Linked DNA regions of Drosophila melanogaster. The protein of the gene in region 2 purifies or fractionates together with the protein of the main gene of each other region. This does not show direct contact. Each region holds a gene or a part of one and is shown on either strand. Other genes may lie near its edges.

Region 1 (8,028 bases), on a different chromosome or scaffold from region 2:
TTATTCCGGAGCTGGTTTGAGTATAGCGCTGCGGGGACGGATTCGATGACTCGTAGACCTGGAAGGTAAGGTAGTTAACTTGCTGGCTCAACATGTTACTTTCTTTCCATTTACCGTCTCCACGGTGGGACCATGGCTGTGGTAGGACTGGATGTACCGCTCGAACTCCTGGTTCTGGCGGAGCTGCTGGTTGCGCTGTCGAAACTGGCCACTATGAGGACTCGGCGGCTGCTGGTGGATGGAGGGGCGTCGGCTGTGATTCCGGCGACGGGGCAGTCGTCCGTTCTTGGACATAGGTGACTGACCCTGAGCTGGCGGCTGCAATCCCAATCCCTGGCGAGGAGACAGCTGCTGGGGCTGCTGTTGCTGCTGGGTTTGAGACACCTGTTGCTGCTGTTGTTGCTGGGACTGGGATAGCACCTGCTGCTGTCGCTCCTGGATGCGTTGAAACTGCTGATCCTCATCCCTCTGAGGACCCGCCCTCAGCTCGGCCGGAGCCATACCATCGACGTACTTCACATCCGCCGGATTTGTGGCCGGTTGCTGTGCAATCGAGATGTTGACATGGGTGGCCGCATCCACCTGGCTGCAGGCCACCAGCAGGAGCACCAGCACTCCTCGGAACATCCTGTTCTAATCCTGTTACCAATCCGAAGTCAAAAATCCTAGCTGTGTGTCCAATCACTGCTGACCACCACCAAAGCTGACCGCTGTCTGATCGATAGTGGAGTGTGCTCCGCATATTTATACGGATTTTGGGTGGATTCGGAATCAAAATTGGGGGAGCGATCGCATTCGCAATCGCGATCGCGATCAGTGTCAAAGTCAACTGCAGCACTGGGAATAGCAATGCATACACACTATGGCGACAATAGCTTCGATAGCTTCGCTACTGACCTGGGCCAAACTGTTTAGGGATGAGTCTCAGATGCTTAACCTAGTTCTACAATTAAAGGCATTCGAGCGATCGCATTTGAGCGATGATGCATTCAACAAATTGCTGTCATCGCTTCACACTTGTGTGGCACGCACCAGCACTGAGAGAAAAGGGGCCTAAGTTCGTTCATATATCACAGATATATCATTTAATATGCGATTTTATTAAAATAATTTCTTGGGAAAATTTGGGAAAAGTTCTTTCGGGTAAAAGAAGCTAATCCAATAGAGATCTTTAATTTCGCTCCAGCTCATCAGTTTGGTTTTTCTCCGCCTGATCTCCACTGCGAATTTCGATGGCATCCGTAAATGGTGAGTGCAGCATTTTCATGTAATTGTCGGAAGGTCGGAGTCGCCGCTCCATTGGCAGCTGGTTTGAACTTGAAATCCGGCCGAGACGTTGAACTGCTCCACTGGAGGAGGAGCAGCTCGAGATCGGCGCCCCAATGGGCTGACGGATTCGCATTTGTTGGTTTTGGGGGTGCTGGTCAGGCAAACTTGCGCAATCGAAGTTTGGCGAGCATTTGGCGAACACTCGGAGCACTCGAATTCGGAAAGAAGGTAAAGGTTAATGTGAAGTACTTTTGCTTCTTTCTGCACTTAAAGTAACCACCAATAAGGTCAAATTGGTAAGGGGGAATATTTTAAAACAGATATTGCCTACTCACAGAAAAAGTAACTTTTCTTTCAAAAATATCTAAAGGATATTAAAGCAAACTTGTTTTGAATATCATTATAGAGAAAGGCAAATATGGGTTTTAAAATCTAAAACTCAGACTAATTGATCAAGGTCCTTTCAAAGATTAATTAGTTTTAAAACAATGCGAGCTTTCGTGGTCATTAAGTTGAACAAGTTTTCAAAAATTGTGCTCTACCGTTGAAAACATCATACCTTTCTTTTGTGAATTTCGTTTTTCCCTTAATATGACATCTCCAAATTTCACAGTCACCTAACAAATATATATGGCTTGGAAACAGAAAAATAAACTCCTTTTTGACACTTGTAAAAACCAGTTAAGCTGTGGCGCCGTAAACGCCAGATCCTCGATGATGCAGTCCATCCAGTCTAGGATCAACGTGCTTAACACCATTGCTGCTTCCAGCAAGCGGATTGAACGCGCCAGCGTTGACACGGTAAGTCCGAATTGATACAGTTCCAACTACCGATCAAAGTACGTGCCCGGCGTCGCCAAACACCCAGGTGATAGTGTGGTAACCACGAATGGCGTTTATTATGTTTGCGGGTGGGAATCAAAACCAGTAAGGAGTAGACAATATATATACCATGCGGTGCATGTGGCCGGCCACAAGACTATCTGTGGCCAGACGGTTACAAGCTAAAGCTACGCGAAAACACAGTCCAAAAGAGCAGCTAACGTCTAGGGCACATCTACAGCAGCTTTTCAATGTCCTTGGCGATGTCCATGGGATCGGTGGTCGGGGCATATCGGTTGATGGGCACGCCCTCCTTGTTCACCAGAAACTTGGTGAAGTTCCACTTGATTCCGCTGCCCAGGGTGCCGGTCTGCTTGGCCTTTAGGTATTTGTACAGCGGCGCCGCATTGTCTCCATTCACATCGACCTGCGGGGGTGGGGCAAGTTTAGTGACTCGGTCTACAGCAATCGGCTAGCAGCTTTAATAGTCTTACCTTGGCGAACACCTCGCCGATGTCAGCCTTGGAGTCGCGCAGGTGGCACACCATGGCCTCTCCATCGGCCTCCGGCATCTGGGACCCAAACTGATTGCACGGGAAGTTGAGGATCACCAGGCCGCGCTCGCCGTACTTCTCCTTTAGATCCGTCAGCTTCTCGTAGTTGTTCTTGGTCAGGCCGCACTTGGAGGCGATGTTCACCACCAGGACCACCTTGCCCTTGTACTTTTCCAGGGAAACATCGTTGCCATGGGTATCCTTCACGGTGAACTCGTAGATCGAGGCGGCGTTCTTGTAATCTCCGTTAGCAGACATGTCGATCTGGAAGCAATAGAAAGTGGGAGTTAGAATTGGGTAATTACTAGTGGCTGTGAAGGCTTGGGTCGATGTTTTGATCAAGAGATATAGATATTTATAGCCTTATCTTCAATCGGGGTATGAAACACTATATTCTGTATCAAAATCGACCCAGGCTACGCGGTTCATTGCAGTGAACAGGCAACAGAGAACAGAGAACAGAGAACACAGGCAGTGGCAAAGGCTACAACGTTTAGTTAGGCGCAGAATCAAGCAACTGAGTTAGTCAACGGGTTAGGATCTAGTCAACTAGCAATCAGCACTACTCACGGCAGCTGCTGTGGAGTGCTGGGCGGCTGAGGAGATGGCGTTCATGGGCGTGGCCGCACAGCTCACGGGAAGCATGATGGTGCAGAGGCGAAGGCACTGCCTCTGACCGCGACTCAGCTCGAGGACGGGGCCAGGGGTCCGCCTCATCGAGTAGCACCTGAGGGCCTGGCGGGAAATGTTCTGAAACTGCCTGAGACTCATTCTTTAAATGCTGCAAATAATAACCGGGCAGAATGTTCAAATTTAGTGAAAGCTTAGGCAAGTGAAGGAATTACTGGTGTGGATGTGTACGTTGTGTATCAGATCGAACAACAATCGTTTCAAAACAATTCAAATGGGAAAATATAAAAATCAAGTCCACATTTCTACTGATTAACGAAATAGTTAAGTAGATAAGAGCAAGTAGTAAGTAAAGTAGTAAGATAGCTCAAAGCTATCTTATTTCCGAATAAGAAAGTGTGGAAATGTATGTGGTGTATAGATTGTATTCGACAACCCGACGACAAACATCCAAGATTATTTCACGTTTTGATAATGGGTTTCCTAATAGTTGTATGTTGTTTCATAGACATTTACGAGGGTGCTATCAGGCTTCTGGTTACAGTGACGCTGCATAATTCATCGGGGTCAAAGTCAAGAGCTATATGTACATATATGTATATCCCAGCACCCTGTGAGTCACGCAACCTAGTGGCTACGCACAGTGACCTTTAAGCTGGCCAGGATTGGCCCACGTAACCCACGACGCTGCCTCGTTACCGTCGCTGATTGCACATGCATGCCATTGTTCGAGTTGATTGGACAGCAATTTGAAGGGATAGTTAGTGTTGTGGGTAATTACTTGCATGGTGAAGTAGATGTACGATCCCAGGGCGATTGCCACGGACCCCAGAAAAAAGTGGACGATGGAGCGGCCAGCCATTACTGAGCTATATATCGACTATGTGTACGATTTCACAACGATCTGCTGCGAGTTTCGGATGCAGGGATACAAATATAGAATGCGAATGCCGAGATTCTGCAAGCTCACGCTGATATGGGCGAAAATCGGGAGCAAAGTTCAGATTCGATTCGACTGTTTTCCCTGCTCTATATACATATATTCTTGTCACCTCGACCAGCTGTGTTTTTGGGCTGATTATGCTGTGCTTAATCTCGACAGCTGGGTATTATTGTTTGGGCTTACTTATGGCGTAATAGCAATGACTAATGGAACTGGGCACTTTCTCACTTTCGAAGCGTAAATAAAACTGAAACCGGCGACTTGCAAAAACCCTTATTTATATGTGTAGGTGAAAGCACTTGTAATGTTCTGGTCTGGTCACACTAGGAGCACAACTTTTCCAGAGTTGCCAAGTGTGGTGGTTAAGCCCTACTTTCTAAATTTAAGCATGAAAGTAAAAGCCTTTAATTAGAGCTTCAAATTGTATATATCATTACTATTGATTATCATTTTGTAAACACAAAATATCAAAATGAAACAATCCCTATTCCTAATATTAGTACAAATCAAACAGAACCCTTATTTCAAATTTAAAGCAGCGGCAATTGCATCAGTCGCTGCCACATCCGATCGAACGGCCTTGCCAGACGGCCAACACCATTTGCTGTTTGGTATTTTCCGACCACACAGCAAACGGTCGTACGAATTTTCTTCTTTTTCCATTGTGCGTTTTTGTTTTTGGCGAGAAACAAATTGCAGTCGAAATTACCCAGTGAAATGCAGTGCGAATTGCTTAGTACGTCCATGTGCTACTAAGACCAAGTGGGAGAGAAAACCAGCGAGCAGGAGCAACCACGCCCACGCCAGGCGCACCGCCCACCGCCGCAGGATACACATACACGAGTAGCCCACACTCACGCACATACACTTCCACACAAAAGAGATCCCTGTGTGGCGAAAAAGGATTGGCGGAATGATGCTCACATCCATAAACAACTCCTTTGAGCAGGACACCCACGATGCGGACGCCAACTGCGACGGGCCCGACCTGGACTTCGTGTACGCGGACGTGGATGGCTATCAGAACGAGATCGCTGAACTGTATAGCTACACGGAGTTCAGCGAGTTTCAGATGAACGTGAAGGCCTTCGAGGACCAGATGGAGCTGTACGACCTGCCGCCCAACTGGCAGAAGCAGGACTCCGCCTCCCAGCGCGGCATCGTGATGAAGCTGGTGGACCAGCTGGAGGTCTCCGATCGATCCTTTCGCATGCAGGCCGCCCGGTGCATCCTTTACCTGGCCCAAGGCTGCTGGGCGGAGGTTCAGTCGGACGAGGAGCAGCACCAGATCACCAGGGACAATGTGCTGGTGCTCTACCAACTCGGCGTCTTCGCCTCCTTCATCGACCTGCTCAACATGGAGATCGAAAGCGCCTGCTCTCCGGACATTGTGGCCGTCAAGATCACTAACGTCACGCTTGTGGACTCCACGGACATTCGGGTGATCCTATCTGTGCTCTACATCATCACAGAAACGATTCGCGATGAAAAGGAAAAGGGCAGCGAAGACTACAGAGAGCTGGCCGACTCCTTTGTGCAAGAAATCAACTCACCACTACCAGATGGCGAACTTCTGGCCGTCAAGCTGTTGGGCATGATCACACGGTTTTGCAGTGGCGCAGCACCGCAGTTCCCCATGAAGAAGGTTGTCCTCCTGCTGTGGAAAGTTTCGCTGCTGGGACTGGGAGGCATGGATGTGCTCAAGAATCTCAAGAACGAGTATCGATTGAAGGTGGGTTTGGAACCCATCACCGAGGACACGCTGGAGGTTACCAAGTGCATGCGAGCCAGCTCACCGCCGGCCACAGCTACTGATATACTGGAGAACCAGTATCCCAAGCGGAACTTCAAGTAAGCGGAGTCTTAGATCACTTATGTACACTTTTCAATACATTCATTTTCCTTGCCGCACAGACGCTCCCTGATGAAGCAGCGTTTTTTGGACGAGCCCGAGCAGATAGACATGGAGATGGGCGGCAACGAGGGTCAAAATAATGCCAACAATGGCAGCGGCAATGGCGGAAACGGGGAGGAAGAACTCTCTCAGTACTACCGACCCTACGATGACCCCTCTTCGTCGGCATCCACCACCTCGACGGCAAATCCAAACAACCAGCCTAGCCTAACACAGCCACCCGCTGCTGTGCCTCCGGTACAGATCACGGCTCGCCTGCCCTGGACGCCTAAGGTGCGACAAAAGGACATTGACCAGTTTCTGGACATTTCGCGGAATAAGTTCATCGGGTATTCACTGATTGGTGACCACGAGAGTCTGGCTGGACTGCCGCAACCCATTCACGAGGGCTTTAAGACGCTGCAGCGGCACATGTATATGAGCCTGGCCGATGTGCAAATTAAGAAGGAGGAGGACATAGCTAGGAACCCCATTTCCACGCACGAGGACGAAATCAAACTGACCCCGGCTGAGGTGTTGTACCAAGCCATCCTGCCAAACCTGCCGCAGTATATGATCGCCCTTCTCAAGGTCCTGCTGGCAGCTTCGCCAACGTCCAAGTCCAAGACGGAGAGCATCAACATAATGGCCGATGTGCTGCCTAGGAAGATGCCGCTGACGGCCACCCAATCAACAAAGCTAACCGTCGACATTGGTCGGCACAAGGAGATCATTGTGAAGGCTGTCTCGGCCATCATCCTGCTATATTTAAAGCATTTCAAGATAAACCATGTTTACCAGTTTGAGTTCATGTCGCAGCATCTCGTGTTCGCCAACTGCATCCCGCTGGTTTTGAAGTTCTTCAATCAGACAATCACGGAGTACGTGAACACCAAGAACTCCATTCCTCTGCTCGATTTCCCGTCGTGTGTGATTGGTGAGCAACCGGATTTGAGTGGCGATAGCTTTGTGTATGGCGGAGAGATGTCCGATAAGTCCTACTCTTGGCGGAACGTGTTCTCCTGCATAAACCTGCTGCGCATCCTCAACAAGCTGATCAAGTGGAAGCACTCGCGAGTGATGATGCTGGTGGTATTCAAGTCGGCACCAATCCTGAAGAAGACGCTTAAGGTGCGCCACGCCATGATGCAGCTGTACGTGCTGAAGCTGCTCAAGATGCAGACCAAGTACTTGGGCCGCCAGTGGCGGAAGTCCAATATGAAGACCATGAGTGCAATTTACGCCAAGGTGCGGCATCGTCTAAACGACGATTGGGCCTTTGGCAACGACTTGGAGTCGCGTCCCTGGGACTTCCAGGCGGAGGAGTGTACGCTGCGGGCCTGCGTGGATCGATTCAACCTGCGACGCTATCCGGAAGCCACCCAGAAGTGTGGAAACAACGGCACGGCAGCTCAGAATGCGGAGAACGCCCAGCAATCCAACATGATGGCGGGCAACAATGGATGTGGCAATAATGGCGACGCAAATGGCTATGGAAACAACGGTGGCGGTGGCAATGGCGGCCACAACCAGCAGCAGCAGCTCAACGACTATGGTGTGGAGGGTGGCTTTCCCAGCGACGAGATCCTTACCCACTCGGACTTTGCCTTCTTCGGTCACTCGGGTTGGTGGGATCGCAAGGTCGAGCTGACGGATTACTTCAAGGCCAATTACGCGGTCTGGCTGGAGGAGGAGGTCTACAACAGTCAGACCGACTGGGACGCCCTCTAGGGCAGGGCTGCCATCGGTGAGCAACTGCATACCGCATGTGCCCCGTCACACTTTTATTTACGTGATTCCTTTTTGAATTACAGCTGCTCTAATATCCACATGCGCGTCATAAAAGCAAGAAGTTATTAACGTAATTGTAAGCATTAAGAAGTACATTGATATAATCCATGTAGCCCGACCACGAT
Region 2 (4,075 bases):
CTCGGGTCAGGTGGCGCGTCTGGCAGGGATTGGTGATAAGGAAGCAAAGGAGGCTTCCCTGAGTGTAGCCCTGCCGGTGGAGCCTCGCAAGCGATACGTCTATGTGGTTAGCACTCAGGGTAAGAATTGTCCTGGGCTAGCCACACCTCTGACCGTTGATCCCGATGGCACCTACTTCAGGCGGGACGGTCTTTGCGGCAACTTCCTGTGCGGCCGCAGTCCAAACGAAGACGAGGAGCCGGAGTGCGAAACGCTGGACGTGGACCACGGGTACTTTGAAACGGATGTCTGGCCCACACTGGCGAACCGAGTTCCTGCTTTTGAGTCTGTGAAGATACAGAGCAGCTGGGCGGGCTTCTATGACCACAACACATTTGACGCAAACGGCGTCATCGGCAGGCATCCTCACTACAGCAATCTCTTCATTGCCGCAGGCTTCAGTGGGCACGGCATTCAGCAGACTCCCGCCGTGGGTCGAGCCATTTCCGAACTAATCTTGGACGGCAAGTTTACCACACTGGATCTGTCGCGCCTCGGCTTCGAACGCCTTGTAAACCAACAGCCTATGCACGAAGTGAATATCGTTTGACAAATTTATCACAGGAGGATCGTACTTGCCCTTGGTGTGTTTATGTATGTACTTCTTTTATTGCAATTTCTGTTGTGTATATAGTAATTTTGTATAGTAAAGTTCACGTTTTAGTCACGTACAGCTGTGTTGGTGTTTTGGCTGCCAGTAGTCAAGGGAATTTAGTTTAGTTTACGGGGATTTGACGTGGAATCAGCCACGAGAAGGTCGTGTGCCTACATATAATTTATTAAAATAAGGAGTTAAACATAATCGTAATATAACTTGCGAAATAATTGCTGACTTAGGATCAGATGGGGCGAGCGGGTTTGAGGGGGTCTGCCCTTGTTACTTAGTTATCGTTATGTAGCTCTATGTGTATCTGACATCTAAACTACATACAAGATCTGCATTAGAGTCGGGTCCGCGTGGAATCGTTTCCCTGTCAGGGTGAGCCAACCCAACTTGCAAGCTATTGGTAAATATAAATAGATGTATGTTGAATGAGTGTTTCATGCGAGTCTGACTAATCTGGGCGGGCTCCTAAGCCTCGCTTTCGCCAGGGGCCGCGTTTTCACCCACGTTGATGGGCACGATCAGATTCTCCTTCGACATCAGATTATATTTTGTGACGAAATGCGTGAAACGGTGGCACAGATACGTCTCGGCCTCGAATTCGTCGAAAATGCGACGATGGTGAAAGTAGGCGTGCGAGAAGATGCGATACACCCGCCGACATACGGAGCCCAGCTTGGTTACCGACGACTCCTTGATGGACACCCTGGGAGAGACACTTTGCTTATTATGTGGCTAGTTCAACCATGTCGCTAAGCCTGCATACCTGCTAGGGAAGTACTTGTTGCTGTTTAGCAGACAGGCGGCACCGTCCAGCGTGTGGCGTGTGTAGTCAATGGCCGGACATTCCTTGGGCGTCTTGTGCGCGGCGCACAGGAATATCCACTGGTCAGTGGCTGTCATCTGGGTGCACGTCGACGGCGAGCACTCCTTCTGCAGCCGCACTGCCAGGCCGTTCAGCTCCATGCAGAACTGGCGCAGGTGCTCGTACTTCCACACGCCCTCATCCTGGGCTTCGGGCATGGTCAGTATGAGTTCCACGTTGCTCGGGTCGCGCTTAATCAGCTGCTGTATGTACTGCTGCACCGCCAGCGTGCTGTCCATCTCCTCCAGGGGCTCGTCGGGCCAGCGACAGAAGTCCTGAAAGGCGAAACGGAAAACGGGTCAGACGGGCCGGGCCGGGATCGTTGTTCGGACGCCATGTCATCGCTCACCTTGGATTTTGTGCCTGGCCGGTTCCTACGCAATATGGTCGAGCCGTCAGCCATCTTCATGTTTCACCCGCTCGAAGACGCGATGATCCACAACGTCTGTGCCTACGCCTTGATGAGAAAATCACTGGCAGAAACTGAATGCTAGCCTGGTCCCTGCCCCGCGGGAGTCTCCGGATGTGGGATCCCTGCACCGTAGTATGCTGAGTGTATTCTACAGGAGCTGGCACATCGCTTGACAATTAATTGGCGTTTATCCTCCAAAACACTTTGCTTTGTGCGAGAAAATTTCTGACAAATTCTACATACATACATATACCTATCGATTGGCCAGCGGCAGTGCGCATCGTTATCGATAGGGCGATTGCAGCCTTGCGGTATTTCGGTATTTCCGCCAGCCCTGGCCACAAAGTGGCCACACTGTCGCTAGCCAGTCATCATAAATACGAACAGATTGGAAAACGTACAAGAATTGCGTATTATCTGTGGCATTACGAGATCGTACTTTCTAAAAACTAGCTTACCGTAACCCCCGTCAGCTTAAAACATGTCCTACGCGTACTTGTTCAAATACATCATTATCGGAGACACAGGTGAGTGCAAGCTGCGACTTCCTTTGAAACGGAATGGCCAGTGAAAAGTTGGCCATTGTCAGGGAAACAATCTGTAATTGCAAACAACACAACAAAACAAAGGGCATCGCAGGCGTAGGGGTCGTACCCGAAAATCAAAAAATGGGGGTTTCAGGTGGTCTCAAGTGAAAAATTGATACCGTGAGATCAAAATTGCGTCGGCAGGAAAATATTCCTGGAGTCGGTGGGCCGAAGGAAAAATCAATAATACCATAACAACGCATACAGGCGTTTGCTGCTCTCAGAGTTAGTGGTGCGCGGGGAGCAGCCCACACATAAACCCTGCTGCTGACTCACCCAACCACCCCCAGTAATTGAGGGATTCCGCCCCAAAGAGCCACGGGCTTATCAGCACTCTGCTTTTCGGGATGTCCAACAGCTGTTGGCATTTTCCAGCCTGTCCCACCTTTTCCCCGCTCGCCCACTAACCCTTTTCCGTTTCCGCAGGCGTGGGCAAGTCCTGTCTGCTGCTCCAGTTCACGGACAAGCGATTCCAGCCGGTGCACGACCTGACCATTGGCGTGGAGTTCGGAGCACGCATGATCACCATCGACGGCAAGCAGATCAAGCTTCAAATCTGGGACACGGCTGGGCAGGAGGCTTTCAGGTACCCACTTCTGTTCATTTAGTGTTAATACTTAAGAAGGGATAAGTGAAAGCTCAGATTACTTCCAAAATTGAACTGAATAAATTTTTGCAAATTTCGTATCCAAAACCCCAAGTCCAAGGCGGATAATAATTCGGCTCGTTTTTTATATTAAATAAAATAATTTGAATAAAATTCTTACTTAATGATCCAAAATAATAATAATATATATATATAGAGCCTTTAGTAAAAAGGCTTAATAATTTGTATTCAAAAAATTTTATTTGCTTCATTTCGGCACATTGTTGATAGATGTTTATTTAAAAAAGTTTTAATTCTATCATTTTTAATTTTTTGTGATATAAATTTTTTATACTTTACTTAAAATTAAATAGAAGTCGTCAGACAGAAATTTAATGGGTTACTAATAATTAAATAATATAAGCACTGTCATTTATATAACTGTATTGTGACGCAAAATATTTCTTGAATAGATCTATCACACGCTCTTATTACCGCGGAGCTGCTGGCGCCTTGCTGGTGTACGACATCACGCGACGGGAGACCTTCAACCACCTGACCACCTGGCTGGAGGATGCGCGTCAGCACTCGAACTCGAACATGGTCATTATGCTGATAGGCAACAAGAGCGATTTGGATTCGCGGCGTGAGGTGAAGAAAGAGGAGGGCGAGGCCTTCGCCCGCGAGCACGGACTGGTCTTCATGGAGACTTCTGCGCGCACAGCTGCCAACGTAGAGGAGGCGTTCATAAATACGGCCAAAGAGATTTACGAGAAGATCCAGGAAGGTGTCTTCGACATCAACAATGAGGTAAGAAGGATACATTTAACTTAGAAACTTCTTGCCACTACATTATTATCTCGTTACTAGGCAAACGGCATTAAGATCGGCCAACAGCACTCCCCCACAAACCCGTCGCTCCCAGGAGCCGGAGGAGCAGCTGGAGCAGCAAACAGTGGCTGCTGCTAGGAGTAAACCGCAG
Region 3 (4,468 bases), on a different chromosome or scaffold from region 2:
AAGGCCAAGCACGTATGTGCCTATATATTTATATAGCTTTAATATAACCGTCGATTGCCCGAGCACTCGAAATACTTATATAGATGGCTGCCATGCGAACCGGGCGCAGTTCCTTGGCACTTTTTTTTCGGCTGCGAACGCGTTGAAAATCGACGAGAAACTAAATTTAAATTATTTCTGAAAGCTTCAACTACCTACCAGTCGTGCGAGAAAAGTGTTTTCCTCAAGAGAACCGATATTTTGGCGCAGAGAATCGATGAGAGCGATTCGAAAATTATTCAAAAATATTCAAGTCCAAGCCAATTGAAAGTTTCAGCCATAAATCTTTACGGGTATCCATATAATATTACTTTTACACTTCAGGTTCCATATTTATCAAAATTACAAAAATGTATTTGATAGAATTAAAGAAAAAAAACACTGTAACTAATAATAATAATAATTACTTCAATAATATCTATTCAAAAAATTGGTTTTCCTAATTTTCCATATTGATTAATAACCAAATTAAACTTAAACAATACAATAATGAAATTATTTAAAATTTTTTAAACCCCAATATTTTGCCTTTGGAATCTTAAGCTTCTAAAATTATAGTTATTACTGCTGTTTTTTTTTCTCATGGCAGATTCTGTTCAACTTGGTTCATTGTGTAATAAGTTGACTTTTTGAAAATTAACATGACTATATCATAAATCTTCTGCTCGATAACCATTGATAACCATTGTGGCAAATGTTAATTTTAGTGGCTATACTTTATTCATATTTAAACTCCACACAAGTATGTGTGTATATCAAGTTCTGATCAGCCTTACTCGATAAGCAATGAGTCATATCCAATGAATTATTTAACCGCTTCTCTGTTTGGCTGGGATTTAGAATGGCCAAATTTAAAAAGCCTTCTAACAAAAATATTCAAATTCATGGGAGGGGCGCATAATAGATGGGATTCTACTCGTAACATCTTTTGGGAAATAACTTAAGAATTAGTTAGCTTACGGAGTAGCAATCTAAAGCAAAGTTACATCTTATTTAAATACACTACTGAAATACATTTGTATGTTAAATTAAATATGCTCATTCCTTTGGTTATTCCCCGATTTGTATTGGAATTTATTTAGCAAACCATAAAATCGACAGGGTACATTGTACATTACATTTGTGTGGGTGTGAGTGTGTTTACCTCGTTTTAAATAATAAACTTCATTGTTCTCAATGCGTATGGACAATATGTTGAAATTCGTATTATGTATAAATTACTTAGAGATTATCAATCGCTAAGAGCTAATGCAGGTTATGTGGGCCCTCTTCGTGCGCGGCCTGTTTTGTGAGTGGGTGAGTAAATACGATTCAAATGAAGACCAAACGAATCAACAACGTTGCACAGCAGCACCTATCATGTTGCGGGCGCTACTGTCGCCTGATCCTCGACAGATTCGTTAGACGTCGTCGCTGGCGGCGGTGCACTGGTTGTGTTGACTGCAGGTCCGTTATTGTTATCATTCGCCAGCGGCTCTTCCCCCGGCGGCGCCGTCTCCAATGTCACACTTGGTGCTTGTGTTTCACTTTGACTATGCACTGGTGCAGTGTTAAATGAGTTCGTGGTGCCGGCGACTTTAGCCGGTTGCTCCGGACTGCTGTACATCTGGATAACCGAGTTGTTGTTCATGTTTTCCACCGAGGCGCCCGATATGGACAGATCGTCGGCGGAGTCGTCCGCCGTACTGTCCGTTTGCACAGCCTTCTCCTCCAGCAGGTGGTCGCTCTCACGAATCGGTCGCTGCGAGGAGCCGTACTGCTTGGAGATTTGCAGCAGCTCGCGCAGCGTTTCGTTCTCCAGACGCAGCTGGGATATGGTCTGCAGCTCTCGCTGCACGACACCGTCATCTACACTTGCAGCTAGCTGCATCACTGCTGCCATTTCGTTGATCTTCTCGCGCTGCTCCCGGATCACCTGCCACATGCGTTCGTTGTACAGCTCCTTAAAGCTAAACTTGCTATCCAGGACCTTGGAGACGGTGTGCTCGCGATACTTTTGCATCATCAGCTCCATGGCACGCTCGTAGTCCTCAATGAAGATCTTTAGCTCGCGATTCTCTTTGAGTATCTCCGAGCTGTTGATGTTTTGCTGCTGAATGCGATTCACCATGTCCGCGTTGGTCTTGTTGTTCGAAATGCGGTTGAGTGATTCAATGTCGTCCTGATACTGGCGAAGGCTCTCCACCAGCCGATTGTTGTTCTCCGCCTCCTCGAGCAGCGCCGTGCCCAGGGCGTCCAGGTCCTTCACCCGACTGGCCATGCGCTGCGCATCCATTATAATCTGGCCCACGGATAGGTTCGACATCCTGCCCAATTCAGTCCAGTTGCGATTTTTGGATTTGTATTGTTTTCGGGGGCCAGGCCCTCTGCTGCTGGCACTGCGAAAACAAAGGGAACCGCTTAAATTTGTGCACTTTCTGGGGCCTACGAGCAGTGTCTTACGTTCGGTGCGGGTAAGGTGCAGCTTCGTCCCTAGCGTAACAGCTTCATTTGATTTTCCGGCCAAAATATGTAGGAATAGAAACGATTTTAATAGAAATTTTGACGACGACCCAATTATTGGCTGACAGCTTATTAAATCCCAAACGCCATCGGATGTTGCACAAATCCCTAACGCCACTCATTGAATGCGAAAAAATACTGTTTCAACACTTGATATACCGCAAATATACCAAAGATTTAAATTATAATTTTGTTTTTTAACTTTTAGCTTGAGATGTCATTTTTTTGGCTAAATCCTTTATGTTTATGTTAAAAAACTCTTTTAAGGTTAAAAGGTGAAGCTACAAGCTTTATTGTCATTTTTGTATAGGTCATTAAGAAGCTATCAGTACAGATTTTGATCTTATCGCGAAAAATGGAAGACTTAGCGTAGAATGGACATAATGCTATGTTCTTAAACGATCATGCATACATAAATCTAGTTATGTCTATTTAAGTACCTATTTAAGTACAAACAGCAAAGGTTTTGTCATTCAAAGTGGTAGATAAAACAGAGGTAGAGGAATAGCATGGTACATCGGGCGTAGGGATGCACAGACTAAAGATCACGAGATTGCGATTACACGCCAACGCTGTTGAGGCTGCCGGAGGAGAGGTTCTCGGAGCGACTGGACAGACGGGGGCGTTTCATGAGTACACGACCCGGCTTGCCGGGATTTTCGATGGAACCCGCCTCTGCGGATTGATTTAGATTGTTGTTGTTGCCGTTGTTGGAGCCATTGCTGCCGCCAGCACGTTCCAGCGTGCGTTGTGAGCGACGCAGCGAGGAGGAGGACATCCTGCGCAGCGTGGGATCGTAGTCATAGCTCGACGGCCGCTGATAATAGGGCGCATCCTGGTCTGTGTCATTCTTCTCCTCCAGCGCCTGCTGCTGCTGCTGGGCGAGTGGATTCAAGGTTATGTGGATGTGTCGTGTTCGCTGGCGCTGCTTGGTGGGCGAGCAGTTGCCCAGCGGCACAAAGTCATCTCTCAGCTCCGCCATCCGTGGCTTGTTTGGATTGTTTCCCCGGCTTCTGGAATTCCTACGCCGGCAAACACAGAAACAGGTGCTAATCAGAAGCAGAATGAGCACTGCCCCGCCGCCGATTGTTCCCGTCAGCATGGGACTCATATTGAATGTCTCGTTATGACTGGGAGTTGTTGTATCGCGGTCGCCCATTTGCAGTGTTGGCTCCTCTGTGGTGCTGGTTTTGGGACGTTGGGTGCGCCCCTGCTTAAGGGCACTAAATTCGGATGCAGAGGCGGCACTGAAGGACTGCAACTTGAACTCGTACATGGTGGCCGTCTCGAGGGGTGCTATTTTAAAGCTTCTAGCATGGGCTCCTTCAATGGTTGCCTTGAAATATTCCCCTGCCGAGGACGAGGGTCGATAGTAGGCGTAGTAGCCAGTGATCAGGTGTTCATCCGCATCGCTGGCTAGACTCCAGTGCAGCACCACAGCGGTTTCAGAGTATTCCTCGATCTCCAGAAGCTCTGGCACCGGCATCGGATCAAGTGCTGCACCTGGCTGCAGGTAAAATTTCGCCGAGGTATTACTTTCCTTATTGTCATTGTTGGAGTAAACGGCTAGGATGCGGAAACGATAGGTGTGCTGAGGCTTCAGGTCCGTCACCGAAGCCGTGAAGCTCTTGCCCAGCTCGGAGTTCCACTTCGGTTTTCCATACGGTATATTATCGTTGGTTGTCTGCCAGTTCTTGCGCTTGCCAACCATGCGGTACTGAACCTTAAAAATGACAATTGGTAACCCATCGTTTCGGGGCACCATCCAGCGCAACATTACGGATTCATCGCTAAGTCGGGTTACATTTGGAGGAGTCGGTGGATACATCTGCTTCTGCCTGGAACCCTGATTGGGCTTGGGCCTGTGTGTACCCCCCGATTCCCGGGGTTCCTGAATCTGCTTGGGATTCACCTGCAGCAGTGTACC

Evidence for each region.
Region 1: the proteins of Mob4 (region 2) and Strip purify together in Drosophila melanogaster (affinity purification with western blotting; 2 studies listed by BioGRID, with this or other methods). This does not show direct contact.
Region 3: the proteins of Mob4 (region 2) and Fgop2 purify together in Drosophila melanogaster (affinity purification with western blotting; 2 studies listed by BioGRID, with this or other methods). This does not show direct contact.

The regions. Positions count from the first base shown.
Region 1 is NT_037436.4:3,322,741-3,330,768, reverse strand, and holds the start of Strip (striatin interacting protein), read left to right. Parts: upstream 1-1,897; 5' UTR 1,898-1,899; coding exon 1,900-2,070; intron 2,071-2,142; exon of another isoform or gene 2,143-2,326; coding exon of another isoform or gene 2,327-2,518; intron 2,519-2,585; coding exon of another isoform or gene 2,586-2,909; intron 2,910-3,215; coding exon of another isoform or gene 3,216-3,416; exon of another isoform or gene 3,417-3,426; intron 3,427-4,056; coding exon of another isoform or gene 4,057-4,137; exon of another isoform or gene 4,138-4,504; intron 4,505-4,732; exon of another isoform or gene 4,733-5,131; coding exon of another isoform or gene 5,132-5,167; coding exon 5,168-6,069; intron 6,070-6,132; coding exon 6,133-7,843; 3' UTR 7,844-7,859; intron 7,860-7,926; 3' UTR 7,927-8,028. Other genes in the region: CG14961 (uncharacterized protein), read right to left, coding at 1-58, 115-627; Gtpx (glutathione peroxidase homolog with thioredoxin peroxidase activity), read right to left, coding at 2,327-2,518, 2,586-2,909, 3,216-3,416.
Region 2 is NT_033778.4:6,694,483-6,698,557, forward strand, and holds Mob4 (MOB kinase activator 4), read right to left. Parts: upstream 2,180-4,075; 5' UTR 1,918-2,179; coding exon 1,858-1,917; intron 1,784-1,857; coding exon 1,410-1,783; intron 1,362-1,409; coding exon 1,112-1,361; 3' UTR 632-1,111; downstream 1-631. Other genes in the region: CG3270 (uncharacterized protein), read left to right, coding at 1-589; Rab2, read left to right, coding at 2,402-2,447, 2,934-3,093, 3,567-3,903, 3,964-4,062.
Region 3 is NT_033779.5:6,942,653-6,947,120, forward strand, and holds Fgop2 (fibroblast growth factor receptor 1 oncogene partner 2), read right to left. Parts: upstream 2,638-4,468; 5' UTR 2,482-2,637; intron 2,418-2,481; 5' UTR 2,345-2,417; coding exon 1,397-2,344; 3' UTR 526-1,396; downstream 1-525. Other genes in the region: ihog (interference hedgehog), read right to left, coding at 3,101-4,468.